Linked DNA regions of Callithrix jacchus. The protein of the gene in region 1 binds, or shares a complex with, the protein of each later gene. Links are inferred from orthologs where the notes say so. Each region holds a gene or a part of one and is shown in the gene's direction. Other genes may lie near its edges. The genes, in order: ITGAV and ITGB6.

Region 1 (8,984 bases):
GCTTGCCTTCTCTTCTTTCCCATTCACCTAAAGAGCTGAAGTGCTGGCCAGAATCTTTACTGATACAGATCAGATAGGAAAGGGCAGCACTGGGAATGCAGGTGGTTATGGGGGTGAAGAGAGACCAAGTCAATCTCCTTAATAAACAGCCAAGAGAGGAGTGGCAGGAATGACTTAGACAAACAGCAATAAAAATTCTAGGGCAGGGTTTAGTGGGTTAAAGGGTCCAGAGAAATGGAGAATCGAAGAAGGGGATTTCTGAAGTTTCCACGGTTTATGATTGGAATCTCTTTTGAGGTTCTTGGAGAGACAGAAAATTTGAAATTCCTCTTAAATTATGGACTAAATTCCTTTGCTTGCAGAGACAGAGCTGTGTGAAGCCCTGGTCTGATTATGGTTATTGAAGGAACTGTTGAATAGACAGATACAAGGGGAACTAACAGGGAGTAATAATACTCATAAAAATTTACTACTGTTACCATGCTAAACTCTAGTTATAAAAGTATTAATACCAACAAGAACTGTTCAATTCTAAGAGACAGACAGTAGTATTATTTCCCTTTCACAGATAAGAAAACTGAGGCACAGACTGGTTGGATTGATTTGCCCAGGGTCGCACAACTAGTACTTGGCAAAGCCAGGAATGGAACCCAGGTACTTCATTTTACAGAAACCACTGGAATCAAGATTTTTACTAAAATATAGAGTAGTAGAGGATAAAATTCAGAGTCAAAATTATTTTTACTATCTAATATTTTCTAAGAAAAGGATTATATTCAATGGATACTTAATGTATACACAGAAGTTCTTGTTTTAAGTTGGAAGTCTGCTATAATGCAGTTTAAAGAGTAGTGTCATGGGGTGGGGGAGGGGTATCACCATTCTTGCATAGAATAAAACATTCTTTTCCCTCTCCCATGCACACAGTACCAGGTGCAATGTGAATTCTGAATCAGCACTGGCTGAATTGACATATTCGATAATACAATTTGAAGGCCACTGTGTGCGTGGCTGCTCAAGCATGGTCAGGCTTACAAAGAGATGCCAGCATTTATAACCCCAAGCTTCTGAAGGCACTGGGTTAGTCTGCTTCATAGTTTCCTAATTGAAATGTATATTTAATTTTTTTTTTTTTAGACAAAGTCTCACTCTGCCACTCAGGCTGGAGTGCAGTGGCCCACAATACCACAATACCTTGGTTCACTGCAGCCTCCACCTCCCAGGTTCAAGCAATTCTCCTGCCTCAGCCTCCTGAATAGAATGGGATTACAGGCACACACCACCACACCTGGCTAATTTTTGTATTTTTAGTAGAGATGGGGTTTCACCATGTTGGCCAGACTGGTCTTGAACTCCTGACTTCAGGTGATCCACCCAAGGACTCCCAAAGTACAGGGATTACAGGCACGAGTCACCCTGCCTGGCCTGTTGGCTTTTTTTTTTTTTTTTTTTTAACAAAAACAAAACAAATTCCTTGATTTTCAAGACTGCTCATTCGAAATAAACTCATAAGAAATGGCTCAATAATAAGTGCTTTTAGTAGCTGTTCGTAGTCCTATTGGGAGTGTACTGTTCACTCAAGTTTTGGTGGGACTACATGTACTGTCATTTCTTTGGCTTCTTCCTTTCCCTGGTCCTCTCACATTTCTTCACTCCACCCTGGTCTGTTGGACACGTGTCCTGGGATCAGAAGATGAGGAGTGGGAGACTTACTGGATCTATCTAGCCAGAGTTTAAACTCTTCTGTCTTCCTTTCCTGGATGGATTTCCAGGTAGACTGATTCTCATGTTTTAACATATAAAATACCCTTTGAGTTTATGCATACATATCTATAACCTCTTTGGTGTATTAGAAAAAAAGGCAAGAAATAAGGTGTATTTGGATTTATGTGTAAGGATTTGTGTAGGATTTCCTCTCTCAATCTAAAAGTACTTACTTTTAGAAAGATGCTGGATCATGCCTTGTAAAACATGCCAAAGGTTTTGCTGCATGTTTTTTAGTCAAATTTTAAAAAGGAAATATTTAATGTAACTTTTTTTTTTTTAGGCAGAGTCTTACTCTGTTGCCTGGGCTGGAGTGCAGTGGTGTTATCTCAGCTCACTGCAACCTCAGCCTCCTGGGTTCAAGCAATTGTCCTGCCTCCGCCTCCTGAGAAGCTGGGACTACAGGCACACGCCGCCACACCAGCCTCATTTTTTGTATTTTAGTAGAGATGGAGTTTCACTGTGCTGCCTAGGGTTGTCTTGAACTCCTGAGCTTAGGCAATCCGCCCACCTTGGCCTTCCAAAGTGCTAGGATTACAGGCATGAGCCACAGTGGTGGGCCTTTTTTTTTTTTTAAACACAAGGTCTTGTTCTGTCACTCAAGCTGGAGTGCAGTGACACACTCACGACTAACTGTAACCTGGAACTCCTGGCCCTAAGCGATCTAGCTGCCTTAGCCTCTGGCATAGCTAGGACTACAGGCATGCACCACACTCCCAGCTAGCTAATTTTAAATTTTTTTGTAAAGAAGAGGTCTCCATATGTTCCCCTGGAACTCCTGGCCTCAAGCAATCCTCCTGTCTCAGTCTCCCAAAGTGCTGAGATTACCACCATGAGCACCTGGGCCTGGTCCAATAAATACTGTAAATTCAAATTAGGCATTTCACTTCCATTTATATACATATCCCTTTATAGGATTATTTGATGGTTATTAATGTATATTGTCATTGAATTTTAATAGTTACTTTGGGAAAACAGAAATCACTGTTATAGTGCCTACTTGTAAGTTGTTAAGGTCCTCACAATGCACTTAATCTTATTCAACAGATTCTGTAGCACATGAAACACCTGAAATGTGGAAGAGTCACTTCTCTGTGCAGTTTGCTCATTTCATCTGGTATTCATTCATTGATTCAACATTTTATTGATGGATTACTATTTGCATGGCAAGGTGCTAGAAAATAGGAATACTAAGAAAAAGTCGACGTTCCTGTCCTGAAGGCCCTCTCTCAGTACAGTGTTGTCAAGGCTTGGTGGAATACACCAGTGGCAAACAAGCACAAGCGGCCTTATTTCACTGGTGTGCATTACTTCTTCCAGCCCTGAAATCAAGTCTATCCAAACGTCCTAAATCAACAAATGTTTTTTCGAAATCATACAACTGTAGCTAACAAACTAGGAGTAAGGCTTCGGTTATTCTGACTTGATTTTAAACCATCATTGCCCATTCTTTGCCCTGCCAATCCTTTCTTTGACTACTGAAGTTAAGCTTTACACATCTCACTTGCAAGAGGCTATGCTGCTATTCTGGAAATCTGAAATTAAGTTCAGTGTTTGTGTGTGGGGTGGAGTGTAATTAACGACCATTGATTACAGAGTTTCCTTCGTGAGAGCCTGCCAGGCTAAGCAGCAGAAACACGAGAAGCGGATAAAAAGTTTTCCTCATTTTTCAACAAAAGTCGCACGGGAGTTTCCGGCGGGACAAGGGCACGTGGCCGGCTCTTGCTACTCCCGTGAACGCGGCTGGATTGGGACGCTGGATCGTGACACCCCTCCCCCCGCCCCCCGGTCCCCAGTCTGAGGCCTTCGTCCAGAAGCTGAGCCGCTGACCCAGGCTCAGGAGCTGGGAGCCCCGGCACAAGCTCCCGGGCCTCGGGACAGGCGGGGACCGCACGCACGGAAGGGCGCTGGGCTCTCTCGGGTGGAAGGCGCCTCTGCTTCCCCACTTCCTCCTCCAGCTCCGCGGCACCGCCTCCCGGGCGGCTCCTCCTCCTTCCAGTCTCCTCCCTGTCCCGCCGCGGCTCCCGGGCCCGAGGTGCGGCGCTCCCTCGGCAGTCCCCAGCCTCGGACGCTGCGTGGAGCGGCGGAGGGGAGAGAAGCGAGGGGCCGCCTGCGCTGCTGTCCCTGCCCCGTGCGCTCTGCGCCCCTCTTCCCTGTCGGTCGCTCCGAGGCTCAGACCTCCTGCCTCGCTCGGCGCGGTCCGGGGCTCGCCGAGAAGAGAGCGGCTGGCAAGTTTGGGCGCGCGCAGGCGGCGGGCCGTGGGCACCGGGCGCTTCGGTGGGGCGCGGGGAGGTGACCGCCGCTCCGGGCTCGGCGTCCCGCGCGCACTTCGGCGATGGCTTCGCCGCCGCGGCGACGGCTGCGCCTCGGTCCCCGCGGCCTCCTGCGTCTCCTCTCGGGACTCCTGCTACCTCTTTGCCGCGCCTTCAACCTAGATGTGGACAGTCCTGCGGAGTACTACGGCCCCGAGGGAAGCTACTTCGGCTTCGCGGTGGATTTCTTCGCGCCCAGCGCGTCTTCGTAAGTGGCCGCACTTGGAGCCGGAGCCGGCCCCCTCCCCCACCGCTTGCACCCACCCCGCTTTTCTCCCCTGGGATTGATTTCGGAGAGATCCCGGGGTCTATCCTACCTATCCAACCCCCTCAGAGTGGTTTATGTCCTGGGTGAAGGAAATATTTGGGAAGATGAACTCCCCTCGGTACCCATCACCTAGTTACACCCCACTCCTCACCTCTTAAAAGTGATTAGGGGCAGCGGGAAAGTTTTAAAGCGGACCTGTGCTCAAAATTCAGAGAAAGTGGGAAATCAACAAAGGCTGGTCTTGCCGGACTCCCCGCCTCCTGTGCCATTGTCGAGGATTTGCAGTGAGGCTCTTGGTAGCTTTTTTCTGCTTCTCAGACTTAACGCCGGTCCTTTTCATTCTCCCTCAGCAAGCCCTCCCCCACTCTTTCTGCCTCTGTCTGAGTTTGTTTCTTCTCACTCCTTTTGCAAACATTCTGATGACTTAAAATTACCATATTGCCCCACGGAATTCATTGTGTCTTATCTCTGGGACTGTCAAACATTTGCACATTTGAGGTTGAACAGATGAATTAAATGTGTCATCTGTTCTTTTTATAGTGATTCACTATTTAGGTCATTGTTCAGACGGAACAAGGGTGTTTGCTGAGTTTTCACTCACTGCAGGTCATTAGAATACTGCAACATTTAATAATTCAGTTATGTTTTCAATTTGCCAACGTTCCGCGTTGCAGGGACCTTCAGATTTGTGGCAGTTATTGTCATTATTGTCACTGTCTCCGACTTTACTGAATGCTGACGTCATTACCACCATTCCACCCCCATATTAGCATAAGGAATACTGTTTTAATGAGTGTTCACTGGTTGTTTTATGATGTTTAAATCTTATTTTCAAAAGAGAAACTGTTCTTAAGGTGGCATCTAAATGCTTAGAAATTGTAACAACACATTTTTGTTTCCATATTTGCTGTATAAGATATCCCTTCGGGGTGAGGTGGAGGGTAATCTTGACGGTTAGTACTTGGATAGGACCATTTTCCACTACATACATGCCTAATTTGAGGATGGTCTCGTTTTTCTGTGACTGTTAGAACAGCAGAATTTAGCCTTAGTGTTTTTCTGAATGTTGCTGAGTATCATTCATTTTGATAACAACCTTTGCAGCAACGCATAGATTGGATGCAGTGAATGGAAACTTTGTTAGTGGAGACATTATTTTATGTAGCAGGCTTAGTTTTCATTTGTTGTCAGCAGTTAGAGTGCTTTCTGTGAGACCTGGGACACAGATTTTCCAAAATGATAAAAATAATCATTAACTTTGGCAACATTTACCGATTTCACATTCCATTTAGTCATTTTAGTCCGCGTTACCTTTTTATTTGTTACTGTTTTTAACCACGGGGCAAATACCAAACATTATCTTTAAACATTTTTGTTTCCAGATGCTTTCAAGTGTATACCTTTATGATACAGAACATTTTAGTTGCTCCCAAGGGTTCAATTTTAGATTTAATTTGTACAGAAATTCTAATGATTTTGAAAATATATGTCTTTTGTCAAAGATTAGCATTTAAATACTTCAGGCCAGAGGCAGTGGCTCATGCCTATAATCCCAGCTCTTTGGGAGGCCAGGGCAGGTGGATTGCCTGAGCTCAGGAGTTTGAGACCAACCTGGGCCACACGGTGAAATCCCATCACTACAAAGAAATACAAAAATTAGTTGGGTGTGGTGGTGCACACCTATAATCCCAGCTCTTCGGGAGGCTGACATGGGGAATTGCTTGGAAGGTGGAGGTTTCAATGAGTGGAGACTGTGCCACTACACTCTGGCCTGGGTGACAGAGAGAGAACTCTGTCTCAGAAACAAAACAAAAACAAAAAACAAAATAACAAAAAACTTTAAAGTTGATGCAGTGTTTTACAAATGTTACTGTTAATTCTTCAGCAATACTCTGAGTTTAGTGTAAGATGAAGAGAAGCTGATAAACTTTAAGTGGGTTTTCTTAATGGAAAATGCAGTAATGTTGAACTATTTATATTTGTTATTTCTGATTACAAGCCAGGGTGACTACTTTGGCCAGTCATTACAATCAGTGAATATGTTATGACCTCACAGGTTTCCATGACTTCACTCATAGACCTTAAGTGGTAAGGTAAAATTGAACTTGGGTTTGATTTCATATCATATTTTGAAATATTCATCAGCAACTTTGTTACTGATAGACTAGAGAGCTCTAGGTATAGGTAAGTTAAACAGTGGAAACCAATCTTGAGTTTTGTTGTTGTTGTTGTTTTAAAGTATATAAACAAATGTTTTTACTTACTGAGCTTTTCAGATTTAACAAAGATTTATGTAAAATTACGCTGAATTTTCTAAAAGGGCAAATGTTTTTTTTACTTACTGAGCTTTTCAGATTTAACAAAGATTTATGTAAAATTACGCTGAATTTTCTAAAAGGGCAAATGTTTTTACTTACTCAGCTTTTCAGATTTAACAAAGATTTATGTAAAATTACGCTGAATTTTCTAAAAGGGCACTTTATATTTAACAAGCATTGGAATCCAAGGTACATGGGATGCCATTTCCAATATGAATTTATTGTTATTTGGTATTATCATAAACTTCCAAAAGAAAAAAAGCCACATAATGAAAAAGTATTTGTCAATTAAAGGGCACCTTTCTTTCTTTCTTTTCTTTCTTTTTTGAGACAGAGTTTCGCTCTTGTTACCCAGGCTAGAGTGCAATGGCGCCATCTCAGCTCACCACAACCTCCACCTCCTGGGTTCAGGCAATTCTCCTGCCTCAGCCTCCTGTCTTTTTTTTTTTTTTTTTGAGTTGGAGCTTCACTCTTGTTTCCCAGGCTGGAGTGTAATGGCACGATCTTGGCTCACCGCAACCTCCACCTCCTGGGTTCAAGCAATTCTCCTGCCTCAGCCTCCCCAGTAGCTGGGACTACAGGTGCGCAAAGGGTGCCTTTCTTCTAAGGGGAGAAGATTTGTGAGGAGGCAATGGTTACTACGTCCACTTCTGTTGCCTTTTCCAGTTTCAGTGTCCGCATTCCTTGAAGAAGCTGTAGAATTATTTTATGACCATTTTTTTCTTTATAGAAAATTATTATTGAATTATTTTCATAGTTTTGTTGTAAAAATTATTTATGAAAGAGAAGGACAAATAAAGTTCTAAGTAAAATGTTAAGGTTGCCCCTGAAAAAAATCGCTCCAGAAATGAGTCAGGTTTGAAGTCAAAATTCGCAAAAACAGTGATTTTCAAAATTATGAAAAATAAAACATTCACATTCTTTTTTTCTGTAAGCGTTTATTTATACTACGTTGTAACACTTACATGAAATCCAAAGGTTGGATGCGGGCCAGTAATGAACGTCATACTTTTTTTGTGGAAACTAATTGGAAAAATTAAAAATTGCATCCTAGGTTTAATTATAGTGACATCTTATTTTAGTAAGCATTTTATAATTCGCTAAGCACTTATATCTCATTTTATACTATAGCCAAAACCATCAGGGTGAGTAACGGGAAGCAGATATACTCATTCTTACAGATGAGGAAATAGAGGCGGAAGAGTTTGCAGTCTAGTTATTTGAGTAGGTTGGTGTGAGTAGAGGGTAAGGAAGGGAGGGCTCAGAAGGCCAGGGTGTGAAATCCAATACCACTTTTTTTTATTCAAATATTGAAATTTTGAACAAAATAACTTTAAAAATTTATTCTTCAAGTATATGTTATACAGTTCTCATTTTATTTATTTGTTTTAAAATAATACTAAAATGAATAGTACTGGATTCTTGCCTCCTCTGCCCCCATTAAACACTAATGGAGCCTTATCTTACAGTTGACAACTTTTGTAGAGGTGTGTGCCTTAGAAGCAGAAGATCCTTCAGTGGATCTCATTCCTAACTTCATGGTTGCAATACCTGGAAAGTCTTTTAAATAAAACTCCTGCCCTGGCTGTATCTTAAATCTAAAAGTAGATCGCTGACTTGATATTCCAGTGGTCTAGCCTGTGAATCATTTCTCGTTGACTAGCCTGTCTTAATTCAATTTGACTGCAAATGAACTCTTCACTAAAATATGTCAGTTGCACCTCTGTTTCTGTTAATGGAGGCATCCTTTTCTCTGTTACCCTGGAAATAATTTCATTTTCCTCCTCTCATTTTCTATTTTTCTGTACCTTTCCTACTTTGTCACTTTGATATCAGTCAGTGATTAGTCAGCAGGCAGAAGATCCTAGAAATTCTTCCTTTGTAAGATTTCTTGATTCCATGTCTGCTTTCTACTCCTCATTTCAGTATAGGTATGACAAGCATGGTCAGTGGCACTCAGGGCTCCCCCCATCCCTTTGCCCATCATTTGGCTAACCTGCAAAACATCTTATTTGTTTCTACTTGTTTTATCTTTCTGTAACACCCCTTTTCATCCTGGTATTCTGTTGCAAAAATTTTCATAACAATGCTTCCATTGCTAGAGAGAAGGTCCTAACTGCTTAACCTGGATTAAGGTCACTTGCAATCTGTCCCAACCTGTGTGTGTTTTTAAAACTTCATGTTCTGTTTCTCCTCTTACCATTTTAACTGTTTTCACAACACTTTACAAAATGATGCCAGCTCGTTTTTATAAACTTTAGAGTAGTTCTGGTTATACTGGTTGATTTTTCTCATCATAAATAAGATACATATATAATAGGG
Region 2 (8,415 bases), about 27 Mb from region 1:
AATATTCAGCTTTGGTCTTGAAACGCTGAAGGTAATTCATTTTTTAATCGGTCTGCACAGCAAGAACTGAAACGAATGGGGATTGAACTGCTTTGCCTGTTCTTTCTATTTCTAGGAAGGAATGATCACGTACAAGGTAAGACCAGTGTTCTCCGATATACTGCTTTCATGGTATGCTTGACAAACCTGTCATTTGGTTCAGAAAGTAGATCTGAAGTCATTTTTTATTTGATCTGTTCCATTGCTCTTTTGTCACTGAGTGAACACTTTAACAATTACAGGCAAACACCACGCAGTTCCATAGCGAATGCTGTAGGCTTAAGGTAAATAAATACAAAGGTTGCACAGGCATTTTAAAGAGGATAATTAAATAGCATTACTGCCCTATAGAATTTCGTGCCATTGTAATAACCATTTTTGAAACTTTTCTATTTTATTCTACCACAAGATCTTCCACTTAAGAGTAATAATCTTGAAAGAGAAAAAGGAGGACTTATTTCAAAAACAGAAATGCCTAATTTAAGAGAGAAGCATTTTTTAATGGATGCAAGTAATTTTTAAAAATTAAAGTGGCAAATATTGGCTAATAATAAATAGGATAATCCTATATTTGTGAACTTCCACATTTTAAGAAAAAAGAGAATGGTAATTTTGGTTTGAAAGACATACATACTTTTTAATATATGTACACATATTTTACATGTGATAGATGTAAAATACAAAGTTTTATGTGACTTGCTAACGTTTCGAGGAATGATCTTGCATACTAAAATTACCTTTGATGTTGTTTTGTTCAAGTAATGTAAGAGCCATCAGTCTGACAAATGGAATGACTGAAAGTGTACTTAATTTCTGCATCTTGCTGGGTCTAAACCTAGGTGGCTGTGCCCTGGGAGGTGCAGAAACCTGTGAAGACTGCCTGCTCATTGGACCTCAGTGTGCCTGGTGTGCTCAGGAGGTAAAACGAATGACCTCAACGTGTTTTTAAAACTTGTCTGCAGTTACAGTCATGTTAATTTCTTCAGCAATAGTTCTGATTGTGTCTTGCTTTTTGTGGAATTGCATGAGTAAAACAAATCGGGAAAGGAGAAGGTGAGCAATGGTGGCTCAAAATGGCATTCATGTGATTACTTTCAAAAACAATTTATGGAAGGAGTGGATGTCAAATTATTCTGAGAAAATACTTAACTTGGTATTTTTAATTTTACCTGGTTCCTTCTTTTATTGTAAAGCCATTTCTAACCGGTTACATGTAAAATATGGAGGCTGTCTGGATAATCAGAGACCAAGGAGATATTTTCTAAAGTTAAACATACATTTGATGTTCATATTCTAGTTGTATTCCATCTGGTACCAGGATCCATTCTGAACTACTACTAGCTTCTAAGGCATGTGTTCTAGGTTTGAGGCAAATATTACTGGTCAGACATTATCCAGATCTTTTAAAAATTAAATTTTCATAAATTCAGTGACTCTGTACCACACCAGTGAAAAAGTCCCAAATAGGCACTCCTTATCTGGTCAAACAGAAAACTATGTGAAAGCAGTATGAAGATGATTGGGGACTATGTAGTAAGCCATCCTAAGACACTAGAGAGCGATGTCTAATTGATTCATGGTGAGAAAGGCATTAGCTCTCCGAATTTTAAAACAAGTCTCTACCCACTGGATCTCATAAAGATAATCTAAACATAAATTGTTTAGAATGCCAAGTTCAGCGAGAGCTTAGTAGCATGCTCAAAGAGAAACAAACCTCGACACCAAACTCAGAACTGGGCTCTACCTGTAGAAACCCAAATTCCGAGTTCAGTGTCTATCCATGAAGGGTGGCCTCACAGACAAGAGAGCACAAACGCAGCTCACTCCCCTAACACGGCCTTGACCGATGCAGCCACAAACAAAAGTCCAAGAGAATTATGCTTTTTTCGAGTTCCTGTATCAAAACAGGATTGAAAATATACAAGGAAAATCTACGAACCTCACTCTTTCAAGGAACTGGTCGTGGCCTGGGAAGAAGCTTTAAAGAAGTGAGCTTAAGCCACGCGTGCGCACGCACGCACACACGCGACTGTTACGTGAATTCTATTGAATATAATTAAAAGGAGATGCCAGTTTTACTCAGAATTTTACTGGCAGAATTCTCTGGTTATTCACCTATAACTTAACGTTAGACATATAATCAATGTTAGTCATGTAGGGATACAACATGGCAAGATGCTTAACTAGCAAAATATGCAGAAAAACTTTTTTTTTTTTGAAAGAAAGAAAAAAAAGGAGTGAAGGAGAGGAAGAAAGAGGAAGAAAAAGAGGGAGAGAGAACGGGAATGTAGGTTTATTCTAAAAATGGGTATTAATAATGACTGATGAATATTTTGTGTATTTAAGGTGAAGAATGTATATTTTGTGTATTTAAAATGGAGAGCTCTATAAATATTTATTGAGTTTACTTGTTCCAGATCTGAGTTCAAGTCCTGGATATCCTTATTAATTTTCTATCTCATTGAGTCTAAATCTCTTTATGAGTCTTATGTATCTGGGTGTTAGGATCGTTAGCTCTTATTGTTGCATTGATCCTTTTACCACTATATCTTTGTTGCTTTGAAATCTATTTTATCAGCTGCAAGAATTGCAACTCCTGCTTTTTATTTATTTATTTATTTTTGCTCTCCGTTTGGTTAGTAGATCTTTCTCCAACCCTTTGTTTTAGGTCTTTGTGTATCTTTGGATGTGAAATGGGTCTGGATGTAGCATACCGTTAGGTTTTGGCTGTATCTTTTGATTGGGGGATTTAGTCGACTTAAATTTAGGGTTACTGCCATTTGATGTTAACTGGCTATTTTATCCATTCGTTGATGTAAATTCTTCTTTATGTTGATGCTGTTTACTTTTTGGTATATTTTTAGAAAGGTTAATACTGGTTGTTCCTTTCTATGTATAATAAAAAACTTTCAATTGCTGGTATCTTATAAGAAATTCAGATTTGTTTTCTTTTTCTAGTTATTGATTTTCTTTTTTCTTTTTTAGAATTTTACCCACTCATCTGGAGTTGGCGAAAGGTGTGATACCCCAGCAAACCTATTAGCTAAAGGATGTCAATTAAACTTCATCGAAAACCCTGTCTCACAAGTAGAAATACTTAAAAATAAGCCTCTCAGTGTAGGCACACAGAAAAATAGTTCTGACATTGTTCAGATTGCACCTCAAAGCTTGATCCTGAAGTTGAGACCAGGTATGTTAGGATTTGGCTCATGTAAATAGATCTGATGTCATATATGGCAATTCTTCTACTCCACTAATGTGTCTTGTATTGTATTACATTGATTATTATGCCTCGAATTTCCCATTCTTAAGGAAATAGAAAATTGCTAGGCTCACACTTTTCTTTATTCACATTGGTCCCTGGCACTCCAAATGTGTTACTAAAGAAGCCTTCTCTAATAGTAACCATTTAAATTACTCAAATGTTGTTAAGGCTTACCTCACATCTCTTCAAGGGTTGTAATGTAGATTTAAACTCTCTTTTATTAGATGCCTCTTTTCTAAAACGAAGCACAAAAAATTCAGCTTATCTTCTATCTAAATGGATGCTAGTTCTCCCAAGGAGATATAAAATATCCTAACTTATCCTCCAGTAGTTCTAAACTCCCTGCTGAAAAATTTTTATGGGTTGGTTCATTTAGGACCTTGACTTTCAGTAAGTTCTTACTGAGGTGTAATAGCCAGCTGACCCAGCAACTGGCCAGTTGCAAATGAATCTCAGTGTGTTTTTCTGGGTTTGCTTTTCCCATTGGTCTTTGCAGGTGGTGCACAGACTCTGCAAGTGCATGTCCGCCAGACCGAGGACTATCCGGTGGATTTGTATTACCTCATGGACCTCTCCGCCTCCATGGATGATGACCTCCACACAATCAAGGAGCTGGGATCCCGGCTTTCCAAGGAGATGTCTAAATTAACCAGCAACTTTAGACTGGGCTTCGGATCATTTGTTGAAAAACCTGTATCCCCTTTTGTGAAAACAACACCAGAAGAAATTGCCAACCCTTGCAGGTAAGCAAATGATTCCCTTGGCATCTTCGTGCACTGATTTTTTGTGGAGATACCCCGGCTCTGAGCTGCACTTGCCAGGAGCTTGCTAACTCCCTGGCATTTCTGCTTCATCTGGTTGGATCTCAGCAGTTCTCTCCAGTGCCTAGGTTGCTTGGAGTGGAGGTGAGGTCATCTGAACTACATGGTTCTAGCCATGGCTTCTTGCAGCCTCTGCATCTGCCTTCCAGTGTAGGGCAGGTTGTAGCAAACCAGAATGTGTGTTATGCAGACAAGGGGACCAAGGCTTTCACCATAGGCTCCGCTGGATGGCACCTCGCCCAGTCTTTCACACACTTTCTAGTCTCAGTGGCCACCACTTTCTGAGGTTATTGGAGAATAACTTCACTTTCCCAGAATGTTTCTCCACAACAATGACTTCTGGCAAAATAATAATTTTTGCAACTTTCTCTGATGTACTTTGGGAAATATTTGTTTCTCCTATTGCTTGGAGAAGGCCTGGGCAGCCTTCATAGCTATTAAATTCAGTAGTAAATGATTTCATAGGCAATGACTCCATTCTAATATGTTATAATAAGCTATTAAAACCACATATTATTCAGGTGATGGTGGAGGACAAATTGCTTTGTGATGGCTTACCTGTTAAGTGAATGACATGTTCAGAAACAAACTATTTAATATTCTCCTATTGAAAAAGAGCTACTATATGCTCTGTGCCAGACCTTGTGCTGAAGGTTTTACACACATGACCTCATTCAGTCTTCATAACAGCAGGTTAAAGCTTAATAACACCAGCTCTATACTCAGAAGAAATAAGAGGCTCTGAGAGGTTAGCTATTTGCCCAAGGCCACATGACAAACCCATGATCTGTACCCATATTCGATTTGTCCCAAAAGCAAGCCCATTACTACTATACATCTAATATATATGAAATAATTTTCCAAATGTTTATTGACATAATACTTTTATACACCAAAAGCATCAATCTCTATAAAAGATAAATAGCTTTTATTATACCATTTAAAAAAATCTCAATGTAGCCCCCAACTACAATCTAACATAATCAAAAATAATTTAACCATAAAAGGAACTTTTCAATGATTGTAACACTTAAAAATTGTGTTTGGTTTTAAATATCTGTGATGGTGGCTTAAAAAGGGAGGTTTTTTGTTTGTTTGTTTGTTTGTTTGTTTGTTTGTTTGTTTTTGAGATGGAGTTTTACTCTGTCACCCAGGCTGGAGTGCAGTGGCATGATCTCAGCTCACTGCAATTTCTGCCTCCTGGGTTCAAGCAATTTTTCTGCATCAGCCTCCTGAGTAACTGAGATTACAGGCGCCTGCCACCACACCCGGCTAATTTTTTGTAGTCTTAGTAGTGACTGGGTTTCACTATGTTGGCCAGGCTGTTCTCAAACTCCTGACCTCAAGTGATCCACCTGCCTCAGCTTCCCAAAGTGCTGGGATTACAGGCATGAGCCACTATGCCCAGCCAATATTTTCTTCTGTTTTTTTATATAAGGACCAGAGGAAGGCCATTCAGGGATGTATGGCAGATTCAAAAACATGAGGAATCCAGGCCTTTTTCTGCTCTCTGTTTCACCATTATTGACACTTGGATTTTATCTTCATGGTCCAAGAATGGTGCTGGGGTACTAATCATCACTTCTTCATTTCAGTCAGGAGGAAAGGAGGAAAATAGGGGCAATAAGTACACTGTCTGCCTACTCCTCACAATTCCTTGTGACGTATAGTTGACATGCCTAAAATGCACAGATGGAAAATGTTTAGTTTGATGTGTTTTGATGGTTAAATATACCATTGCAATCAGTATCCAAAACATGATGCAGAATATTTTCATCACCTCAGAAATTTCCCATTACAGTCAGTTCTACCACTTCAAAGGCAACCGCTTTCCGAAGTCGATAATTTATATTGGTTTTACCTATTCCTGAATTTTATATAAATATGTAATGTAGTATATGCCCTCTGTGTTTGGCTTCTTTGGTTCAACATAATGTTTTCAAGATTTACCTATGACTTTGTATGTATCAGGAGTTTGCTTCTTTTCGTTTCAGTTAACAATCCATTGTATTTATTTACTATATTTTGTTTACTCATTCTTTCATTGGAGAACATTTGAGTTGTTTCTATTTTAGGGGGCTATTATGAAAAGGCTGCTGTGAGCACTTGCACTGAAGTCTTTGAATGGATGTATGCTTTTACTTCTCTTCACAATAGACACCTAAACTGGAATTGCTGAACTGTATAATTTTTAAAGAAACTACCAAATTGTTTTCCAAAGCGAATGTACATTTTGCATTTCCATCAGCAGTATGACAAGGTTCCAGATATTCTTCATCCTTACTGACACTTGATGTTGTCAGTTTTTTTAATTTTAGACGTTCTAATAGGTGTGCAGTAGTATCTCATTGTAGCTTTAATTTGCATCTCCTTAATGATGAATGATGTCGAGCACCTTTTCCTGTGTTTATTTGCCATTCCTATTTAGTTTGTGAAGCTTCGTTTGAAATCTAAGATTAGACTATCTTTCCAACATTGTGCATTAAGAGTACTTTATATATGCTGGATACAAGTTTTTTGTCAAATACATTTTGCCAAAAATATACATATATGTATTTGTCAAAAATATTATCTCCCACTTTACGGCTTGTATTTTAATTTTTCTATAATGCCTTTGGTCAAGCAAAAGTTTTTAATTTTGATGAAGTCCAACTTATTAATTTTTAATTTTATAGTGTTTTTTTATGTTCTATTAAATTTTTGCTTACTGTAAAGGTCACAAAGACTCCACCTATATTTTCTTCTAGAAGCTTTGTGGTTAATGTGATTACATTTAGGCTTCTGATCTCAAATTAGTTTTTGTATTTGGAATGAGAAAAAAATGTCTAGGTTGATTTTTTTGTTTCCATAGAGATATCTAGTTGTTCAAGCACTATTTGTTAGACAAGATTTTCCTTTCCACATTGAGTTATCTTAATGTCTTTGTTGACAAGCAATTGACCATATGTGTGAGTCTAATTCTGGACACTATTCTGTTTCATTGATCCATTGAATATAACCATGTGACCACTAATGCCCCACTACCTCCCTTACTGTAGCTTTATAGACAGTCTTGAAATCAGGAGCATAAGTCCTCCAACTTTGTCCTTTCATTTTGTTTATCCTAGATCCTTGACATTTCCATATAAATTTTAGAATCAACTTGTCAATTTCTTCAAAAAAATATGCCGAGATTTTTATTGAGACAACATTGAAACCATTGATCAATTTGTGGGGATATTAAACATCTGACACGTATTGAATTTTCCAGTCATTTTACATGACATATATCTTCGTTCATTCAGATCTTGTTTAATGTCTCAGCACAAAGTTCTATCATTTTCAGGGTAGATATCTTGCATATGTTTTGTTTTACTTATTTCTAGGGACATTTAAAATTTTTTATTTTCAAATTCCTTTTGGATAACATGTAGAAATACAATTGATTTTACATACTCACTTTGTATCCTTCAAACTTTATATTAATTTTCTCTTTAGTTCTAGTGTGATTTTTATAGATTCCTTAGAATTTTCTGTGTATATGATCATGTCATCTGTGAATAACAACTTCTTTTTCTCCAACGTCTATGCTTCCTCTTTATTATTTCTGACCTTATTGCACTGGCTTGGGTGTCTAGTACTCTTTTAAATAAATGTAGTAGGAGAGGACAACCTAGTCATCTTCATGATGTTAGGGAGAAAGGATCAGTGTTTCACCATATGTTGTTAGCTAGTGGTTTTTTATTTCCTTTCATCAGATCAAAAAAATTATCTTCTATTCCTTGCTTGGTAGGTTTTTTTAAAAATTATAAACGGTTGTTAAATTTTATTTCCCAACTTAAGGGGTTTTGCCACAAATTTTACTCAATACCTTAGACTTGCATCCAATTGGCTGGCACTTAGTTACATGACCAGTTAACTACAAAGGAAGCACCTGCCCCTCCAAAATCAGCATTTTGTCATGAGGGAAGACAGAATAAGGTGGCATCTAAGATCAGTTCCTGCAATGCTGAATACATAGATTTCTATTCAGAGTTATAAAGACCTGTGCCCTCAAAAATGCTATAGAATAAAAAGTAAGGTATTATTATTGTTATTATTGTTATTGGTGCTAACAACCTCTTAAATACCTATCATAAAAGCATTGCTAATGCTTTTGGTCCCCTTTATAAAATCAGAGAATATTCTACCTAAATACACTTTGTATTTAGTTCTTTGGTATACTGTGTGTCTTTCCCCTACAATAAGCTTCCATAGAGAGTTTAGTAGGGTAATTTCATCTAGAATTACAAAGTGCCACCTCTGCCCCAG

What was found.
Region 2: the proteins of ITGAV (region 1) and ITGB6 are in contact, whole or in part, in a crystal structure (PDB 9CZA), measured with the Homo sapiens proteins. The link is inferred for Callithrix jacchus from reciprocal best matches to the Homo sapiens genes ITGAV and ITGB6. Residues at the interface, in NP_002201.2 of Homo sapiens: Tyr48, Phe51, Lys72, Trp123, Leu141, His143, Gln150, Glu151, Arg152, Pro154, Asp178, Ala179, Phe184, Gln186, Phe189, Pro204, Tyr208, Trp209, Asp249, Tyr251, Tyr254, Pro274, Arg275, Arg278, Thr279, Met302, Ala303, Tyr305, Phe308, Pro328; in NP_000879.2 of Homo sapiens: Ser183, Pro184, Phe185, Lys187, Thr188, Thr189, Pro190, Ile236, Asp237, Thr238, Pro239, Asp273, Ser274, His275, Phe276, Gly277, Met278, Asp279, Lys281, Leu282, Ala283, Gly284, Val286, Pro288, Glu308, Thr311, Ile312, Gly313, Gln314, Ile316.

What each region holds. Positions count from the first base shown.
Region 1 is NC_133507.1:42,392,638-42,401,621, reverse strand, and holds the start of ITGAV (integrin alpha-V), read left to right. Parts: upstream 1-3,796; 5' UTR 3,797-4,099; coding exon 4,100-4,284; intron 4,285-8,984.
Region 2 is NC_133507.1:69,656,961-69,665,375, forward strand, and holds part of ITGB6 (integrin beta-6), read left to right. Parts: exon of another isoform or gene 1-60; 5' UTR 61-75; coding exon 76-136; intron 137-878; coding exon 879-958; intron 959-3,024; coding exon 3,025-3,229; intron 3,230-3,800; coding exon 3,801-4,047; intron 4,048-8,415. UniProt on the Homo sapiens protein: Integrin alpha-V:beta-6 (ITGAV:ITGB6) is a receptor for fibronectin and cytotactin. It recognizes the sequence R-G-D in its ligands. Internalization of integrin alpha-V/beta-6 via clathrin-mediated endocytosis promotes carcinoma cell invasion.